Linked DNA regions of Kluyveromyces lactis. The protein of the gene in region 2 interacts with the protein of the main gene of each other region in a pairwise test. Links are inferred from orthologs where the notes say so. Each region holds a gene or a part of one and is shown on either strand. Other genes may lie near its edges.

Evidence for each region.
Region 1: the proteins of NUM1 (region 2) and RAX2 interact in a protein complementation assay, tested with the Saccharomyces cerevisiae proteins (2 studies listed by BioGRID). The link is inferred for Kluyveromyces lactis from reciprocal best matches to the Saccharomyces cerevisiae genes NUM1 and RAX2.

The regions. Positions count from the first base shown.
Region 1 is NC_006042.1:1,740,146-1,744,594, forward strand, and holds the start of RAX2 (Rax2p), read right to left. Parts: upstream 3,001-4,449; coding exon 1-3,000. UniProt on the Saccharomyces cerevisiae protein: Required for the maintenance of the bipolar budding pattern. Involved in selecting bud sites at both the distal and proximal poles of daughter cells as well as near previously used division sites on mother cells.
Region 2 is NC_006040.1:1,398,276-1,402,727, forward strand, and holds the start of NUM1 (Num1p), read left to right. Parts: upstream 1-1,637; coding exon 1,638-4,452. Other genes in the region: SLX4 (Slx4p), read left to right, coding at 1-1,181. UniProt on the Saccharomyces cerevisiae protein: Controls nuclear migration. NUM1 specifically controls the interaction of the bud neck cytoskeleton with the pre-divisional G2 nucleus. Functions in dynein-anchoring.

The DNA.
Region 1 (4,449 bases), on a different chromosome or scaffold from region 2:
TTGAGCAATGATATTGTCGGTAGAATCATCGATAGGAACAAATGACAGTAGAGGTTCCGTACCAGATTTTACCGTCGAAAATATGTTGCTACCCACTTCCACAGAAAGAAGTTGTATATTAGACTCGTTGTTAGTCTTAATTAAACCACCAACTAGAAGGGTTTTCCCTTCGTCCGCAAACTGCATTTGTCTTATATCGCCAGTGATTGAATCATTTAAGAAGCTAGTCCATTCTTTAGTTTGGTAGTTATATAGACACAAGTCATTGCAATTGTCTATCTCGTATGATCCACCGACTAGAATACTATTATTAGAACTAAAAGAAACCATAGAATTTACACGTTCATTGGTTGAAAAGTTAACTCGAGCAACGTTTTCGTAACCGGTCAAGTTCAGTATGCTAAATTGAACATCATATTGGCTTGAAGAATTGCTTCCATTGGTACCAATAGCCAAAATATTCGGTACATTATCATATAAAAAGGCGTTAATTGGAGCAGACCATTGAATCTGTAGCATATGCGAGGAGGAATTTGTGTTGGTAATTAATACCCTATGTTGAACATTGTCAGTTGAGCCTTCTTGTAAGGCATAAGCAGCTGAAGTATCATTAATATACGCCGCCTTGTAAGGTTGAACATCTGTTGGTAGCTCAGGTAAAGTAGGTGATGATACTTGTCCATCAGATGACAGGGATGCCAGTCCATTGAGTTCACCGACAGACCTTTTCAAAAAGGAGCCAAATAATAAAGAGTCGTTACCAGAATTAATCCCAGCCGACTGTCCAGTTATTTCAAACGTGGAGGAGTTGGAAACATACATATTTGCAGACACGTTGAAAATATAGGCGTTGTCGAAGAGCAAAAGCTCATGCCCATCAATGGTAAAGTTCACGATCCTGTCGATGGGCTCATCTAATTGGCCAAAGCTATTGAAGGCATTACCATCATAGCTCAAAATTTCATGCCGACTGTCATTCTCTACTTGGTAGGTACCCGATAATAATAAACCATTTGAGTACTCAAAGATACCAGTAGTATATCCAGACGTTCCTAGTTTTTGAGAGGAAGAAATCAATGCTTCATCGTTGAGTTCCACTTTAGCAATCCCATTGAAATTGCCTCCGATCAAAATATCGTTATTCAAGGAGGCAGCATAAAGATTGGCATCGAGCGGGAAATTATAAAGAGCATAATCATTAAATGTATCATTCGTGCTGAAAATTGATGCTGTCACATTTGCAGTGTTGTATTGGAACAAACCGTTGAGATGAAAGGTTGTATCATTGCTGCTGATACTTATGGTGTCAATATACTCAGTAATAACACCCAAGCGGTCAACCACCATGACTGAATCGCTTTCACCAATCGCTTTATCCCAGGTTACAATTATTTCCGGTGCGCTTCCTAATGAACCTGTATACAGAGGGTCGAATTTATCCTCATTGTTGGTCTGATAAATCAATACACTGGCCAGCACTTCATTTATAGAACGATCAATCATAGTGACATTTACGATACCTCTTTTAGAGCAAGAATTGTCTTGTAGACAGCCTGGTGTGTAGATATTGAAAGTGTATCTTCCTGGATAAGTAATGTTGGGGTGGAAGGTGACATAAGGGATATTATCGTCGATGTTAGTTGATATATAGGTATCAGATTCGTCAGTGGTGTACCAGTTATCAGAGGATAGCTCTGCCTTTGAATATTCCGTAACTGATTCGCAGTTTGGTTCATTATAACTATTATTGGCGTACACCATAAATTCCGTTTCGAATATCTCAATAGAATGCAACGCGGCATTACTTCCATAGGACGCTAGAGCTACAAACTGTAACATGGTAACAGGTATGTCATTAACAAAAGCAAACTCCTGATAGGATTCTGACCATTTCAAATTGGTACTATTGTTATTGATGCCCACTGACTTTGGAGCTGCAGTGGAGTTTTGGCTTATCTGTGTCAAATCTTCTATCGATAGTAATGGACACCATGCATCGCACTGTTTCAGCTCTCCTGATGCAGGATCCAAATACGTCAAATTCATGATACCATTGGAAGGACCGGTAATAATTCTGAACAGGGAAATTTCAGAATTTTCTTCCACAGAATTATATATTCTTACCTTGGATGGGTGGATCTCATTTTTCAAATCGAATTGCAAAGTGGATTGAACGGCTTCAGATGCAGACCAACCATTTTGCCCACCAGAGGGACACAGAAGAATATCTGATTGAACATTTTCTCCGGTGATAGATGAAAGTTTCAAAGGTACTGATTGATCGAATTGTAGGGACGTCAAATCTTCATGAGATGAATTGGTCGCATTGCCAAACTCTTGTAAAAGCGATGCGTTTTGAATCTCTTGGAAACTACCAGCGAACAATATATTATCGGAGTTTAATTTCACGACTGAATTAACGATTGAATTTTCACCAAATCCTTTGAAAGGAAATAATTCAGTGGTGTTTGCGACAACATCCCATAATACAGCCCCATGTCCTGTCTCGTTGGAGACTGACATAGAAAAGTTACCAACAAATATGACAGTTTCATTGACGGTCAGAATGTCCATTACATTCTCGACTGCACTAGGGAATATTGGTGATGTGGTCAAGCTGGTTAAATTTAATAATATTTGCTGTTCCAAAGCAACTCCATTAATTTGACCTGTTCCCGACAAAATGAATGAATCCTCAAACAAAGGAACAATCATGGTTACAGTGGTCTCTGGCGATGTTTCAAACAATTTAACAAATGTATCATTGCTATAGTATAATAATGACGACTCATTGGCTTGAACAGTGAAATTTTGTTGGCCTGTATAGGATATCACTGTCAGTTCCTCAAAATTATTCATGTACGTCAAATCAGGGGAATCCCAATTGGGTGCCTCATAACGTGAGATATTCAACAACTTTTCAATGTTTGACAGCTGACTGCCTCTTACCATTCCAGCCAGGACGAGCAACACATATATCAGGGGATTTATTGAGAACATTGTTTGGATCAGTGAAGACTTTGATGTATTTCAAAAATAGAAGGAATGACGGAAGTTGGTTTTAATGAGAGATTAGATCAAGTTGTGCAAAATCAAACAGCAAAGAACAATGTTAATGGTAAGACAGAATGAATGACGTTATTAGGAGAGTCAAGTACCAAAAAACTAAATCAATGAAGAGAATCCTCCAAGGAACACTTAACTGATATCTTACAGGCAGGAATTAAAGCAATATGATAAAAACAATTGATACACTATTTGTTACCATGCACTAACCAGATTTAAGGGAAGAGGAAAAGCTGCACGAATAAAGGCCTTTTTTGATTGCTTCTCTCGTATCTGTTAAATGAGATCAATTAAAGCCTAATTGGAAAATTCGAAATCAGTATATTAGACCAAATATTTGTTGTGACTCTTTTAAACAGTGAACAGTAATTGACCAGCACACTAACTTGTTCGACTAACCAGTAGAGTTATCAAAAAAGGATTAAGATCAATCGAAAATCAAGGACGCTACAGGTCTGCTTCTAAAGATATCAAAATGATGGAGTGCTAAGATTTTACATATAATTATTACTTTTCAACTAAACCTACCAAAAATTAAAAAAAAACAAAATGGTAATGAATCAATACAAATTGGCATTGTCTTTTTCATGGACCAAAAGGTTAATTCTTTTGAATAACTACTCCCGCACGAAAAAAAATTCATATAGATGAGAACTAGCCAAAAACAAATAAGGTATTATTTCTTCAATGGTACAACTTCACAACTTTGATTGTGTGTTTGTCTCAGAAAATTATTTGTAAATGACATTGTTTACTTAGCCTAATCCTGGGTCTCGTCCTAAATTCCCCATTTGTTTGCCTTTTTCGTTGTTGAAACGAAAGGCTTCTATTCAAATAAAAACTGAAATCACTTTCCACGGATGTAAACAAGATAAGAAAGAAACGACTCCACTGTCAAAAACAACATTATTTCCTCATTAGGCAAAAGCAAATCAACAAGGGTAGGTCATGTGGGATGCTTGTAGGGTAATGCTTTGGGTGCAAGACCCTCCAGCACCTCGGGAATTCATAGAAGTAGCTTTTACGTACGCATTTTCCTTTTCAGCTTGTCAGTAAGAAGTTATATAAAGAGTAATAGCTTTGGTAAACCTTTCAACTCATAAATGCAAGTAGGTTCACACAGGACAAGCCATAGTCATGTACATAAATTGAGTTAATCTGGGAATTAAAATCATCATCTCGATTCTCAATTTTTGGATTACCTCTCTTTAGAGCTAATTAATCCCCTTTTTACTGTTTGTGGAGACAAAAAGTAGATTTGTTAAGTAGGAATTTCATGTGCGCTCGCTTCTTCTGATCCTAAATTGAGTTGTAACTCTATTTAGGCTTTTATTACATCATATATAGTGCATATTTTGGTTTGTTTTTTCCGGCCGTTGCGCT
Region 2 (4,452 bases):
CAAGCTCTGTCATCGAACAGGAACTACCAATTAGCATAGACGTGCCTTCATCTGAGACGGATGTACCGTCTCAGATAGCCGATTCATGCGATAGCGGGTCTATCATTAGCTTTGAAGAGCTGAGTTTCATGATTCAAGACAAGAACAAGGCAGACGTCGATTACGATATACCATGCTATTTACCACCAGATTCCAAGACTTTACCCACTGGTGAGAAAACGAAAAGGGAATATTCCAGGGCAAACATAAACGATCAACTGATAAACATATCACAAACGTCTTACGATGTAGTGTCCTCCATCGTATCTCCAATGAAGGCCCAAAGAACCGGGACTATTCAGGTGCCCGCAACGAGAACTACTACCTTTCAAGACCAACAACAACAGAATCAGCAACAAGCTTCAAAACCTGCTAATGTCGTCAAGATATATGTTGATAGCAATAGGGACTCTAATGACGTTTTCGCCAGTGTTAAGGGGGAGGTAGATACGCAAGAGCAAGAAAGTTTGTCTACTTTAACTACTTCTATGTTGCATGATGATAATAACGAAATTGTTATAGATAGCGAAGATGAAAGAGGTAGCTATTCCATTATGGAGGTTCATGATGCTCCTCAAACTCATCTTGGCCAGTTCCCCTCTCTACGGAAATCTCAATCTCAAAAATTGAAAACCCCAGTTTCAGCCACAGATTCTCTAGATTCACAACTTCAGCCTGCCCTACTCACAACACAAAATGCATCTCCGAACACCGCGAAGCTACGAAGGTCTTTCAAGGTGATCGGATTAAAACCTTGTAAGAACAAAGTTCAGATGTTGCAAGTATGGGAGACATTGGAATCCAAATTCCCGGGGTCCTCAGATGAGGATAGATCAATTCAACTCAAGCAATTCCTCACGGACCTTATAGTACAAAATCGTGATGAATCTGCATTATTAATGGAACAAATATACACTTTTGAGCCTATTCGTTACGAACAGTTGAAAGAATGGCTAGTATCCTTGAACTCATTCACTGAACTAATCGACGATAGTTTTATCAAAAATTGGGCAGATTTAAACGGGATTGTATTCAGAAATGATACTGAGAACCCCTTGTTGTCACAAAGCCAATCTCAATCTCAATCACGGTTGCTCTCACAATCATTATCCCAACTGCAGTCGCCATCATTGTCTCCATAGTATGTTAGCATCCATGTGTATAATTATCAGCATTTTTTTTTCAATAGAAGCCCAAATACATGGCGTCAAAGGAACATAATAGACTCTCAATGAATACATTGGTCTGACTGCCTATTCAAAACATATACCGAATGTGAGCAAGGCTCTATCAAAGCAAGACAAGGCGAGTCAATAGCTGCATTGTTTATTGAGAAATCCGGGTAACGTTATGCAGTCAAAACAGCTCATCAAAAATTGTCAGTTTCTTTCAGATCGAACGATTCTATAAACAAAACAAACAAAACATAATCGAAAAGGAAATTGGAATCTACGCTCAGTAATCTTTGAAGCATATAGCACTGAAGTCCTTAAACTTTAGCACTGTCCTTCGGTTTTTATTCAGAACGGCAACAATTGAGTGATTTCGGGCAATTTGGAGAAGTGCGCCCCAGAAGCGACAGTAAAATCCCAGGAAATATGTCAGGAAAGGGATCTTCGCAGTCTGATAAACGGTCCAGCCGAGATGAATTGAAGTTTAAATTGAACAGGTTGCAGGAACAACAAAAACATCAAGAAGCTCTTTCTCATGTTAATTCTGAGGACCCCAGTTTACCATTTTCCAATGTCTTGAGTAAGAGAGATAATAGGGCTTCGTTACCTGTTTTTGCAGGAAGCTCTGCTCATGCAGGTGTCATAAATGCCAATTCAGGCGAGGATGTGAACTTTGTTGTTGGTTTAAGCGAGAACTTACTCGTCGAATGCAGACGCTTACAAGCACAGAACGAACGTAAGTCCGCCAAATTATCCTCTTTGCAGGCCGACTATGAAAAGTTGAAAATAAATCTTGAGCGGTTAACAGTGAAGCATGAATCTATGACCAAAAATGAGGATTCTTTAAAGGACACTAATTGGCGACAAGAAATGAAATTGCAAAGTTTATCTAAGGAGTTCCAAGAGTTGACTGAAAACTTCAATAAAAATAAAAGTGAACTTGAAAGGCAGATTGAGCTTTCTAAGGATATGAAAACTGAACTGGAGGAAAGTTCTTTGGAACGTATGGGATTAAAGTCCGAATTGGCTTCTAGTAAAAAAGTTCATTCGAATGAAATTAAGGAGCTGAAAAGACATGTGGAAGAGTTGAACAATGAGAATGATCAGCTGCATAATAAAGTTAACATGTTGAGTGAGAAGGTCACTTCATTAACAAAAGAAATAGAAGAGAGGAAAGGCACCTCTGCACAGGGCAAAGACGATACTGCGATTGCTACATCAGAACAAAAACCATCACCTGCCGTAAAACTGATCGGAGGAGGTATGGAGGGTTCCGATGATAGTTCCTTGAAGAAACCGATTGATTCAAATCTAGAAAATCAGACCTTAAAAGCCAACTTAAATCATGCTAATCAGTTAATTGTAAGATTAAAGCAGAAGCTCAACAGAGTCAAGGCTGACAGCACCATGAACTCTCCATTACCTTCAAAGTCTCCCAGAGGTAAGAATAAAGGCGGTTTATCTTTTATAGGATCTGCTTCTACTCCTCAAAAGTCCAATACTTCCAGCTTCAATTACGAAGTTACAGATAATGAATCAGGTGACTGGAATGTAATACCATCGCCTGGCAAGTCAAGTAATGCTGATATCAGTGATATTGACGCTGAAAGTTTTGTTTCGGAAACTATGGACTATGTGAGAGACCCCATTTCGGAGGGCCCCTTTGAACATGATGAAGACTTTATTAATGAACTTGACTATGAAGATATAGAAAGATACGCAAAAACGCACAATTTCGCACTTGTCCCAATTACTGAACTAGATGAATTAAAAAAATCGAAAACTCCTAGCACAATCTCAGATGACACATTATCAAAGCATATTCTTTCCAGACTTTCTACGCTAGGGTATTTTGATACTTCTAGTTTAACAAATAATGAGAAAGTGGATATAGAAGAGATTTTTAAGCATCCCACTGAGGATTATCTAGTTTCGAATCTGAAGAGGCTCAACCTCACTGCTATCAAAGAAGAAGAGTACCAATCATTGAATGATCCATCGATGGAAACTTTGAAAAAATCATTAGAAAGTAAAGACTACACTGCGTTAAGTAAAAAGGACTATGAGAATTTGCTTCATGCTTCCGAAAGTCCGTCCCTGTCATATCTCGAGAGTAAGGCTCACAAGCTTCAAAAAACCATTATCGACATTGATGAGTATGAAAATTTGAGGAAACCGGATGTTGAGGCATTAACAAACCATGCCCAGTCCAGAGGACTTCAGGTATTGAAACAGTCACAATTGACTGATATAAAAGCTAAATTGGAAAGCCCGTCTGAAGAATATTTGCAGGCCAAAGCAGATGCAAAAGGATTAACTGTACTAACGAAGAGTAAATTGTCCCAACTCACTGAACCAAGTATCGAAGACGTCCAACAGTTAGCTACCACTCACGACCATATTTTAATATCTAACAAAGATTACCATGAGCTACTGAATCCTTCTATCGATAAAGTGGAAAAAATTGCTGCAAATCACAAACTCTCGGTAATACCTGATAAGGATCTAATTGATCTGAAATGCAAAGCTGAAAGTCCAGATATTAATAGGTTGAAAGAATGTGCTAAGTCAAAAGATCATGTTCTTCTTCCAAATGAGGAGCACACCAGACTAATGCATGGAAACACTCATCCTTCAATTGAAGCTATTCAATCATCGCTTTCTAGTGACGATATGGAGTCTTTATTGCTGTGGTTGGCGGAAAGAAAGTCCATAACACCTATACGCACCACTGAGTATCACAAATTAACAGAACTAGCTAATACTCCTCCACTGGATCATCTAAAGAAAGCTGCCAAAGCTTTAGATTACACCTTGCTCAGTCAAGCTGAAATAGAGAACCTAAGAAACTTAGCTCAAAATCCTCCCTTTGAACACCTGAAAGATAAACTACTAGCTCTCAATTATACTATTATCAAACAGGAGGACCTTCATAAGTTGAAGGAACAGCTAGAATCTCCAACTTTGAACTTTTTATCGGAAAAGGCAGCAGAGAAAAACTATGATATAATCCTAAAGACTGACCACTCAGAGCTTTTGAGAAAGTCATCAGACCCGACCATCCAAGAAATGCAGCACTTGGCAGCTGTAACTGGCCACTTGATTGTATCGCAGAGTGACTACGATTATTTGAATAAGACCGTAAATGAACCATCAAGAAACTTCATCATTGAAAAGGCAAAGGATATCGGTATGGTTACTATCGAACAGAAAGAGTATGAAAAGTTAGTTCATAAGGGCA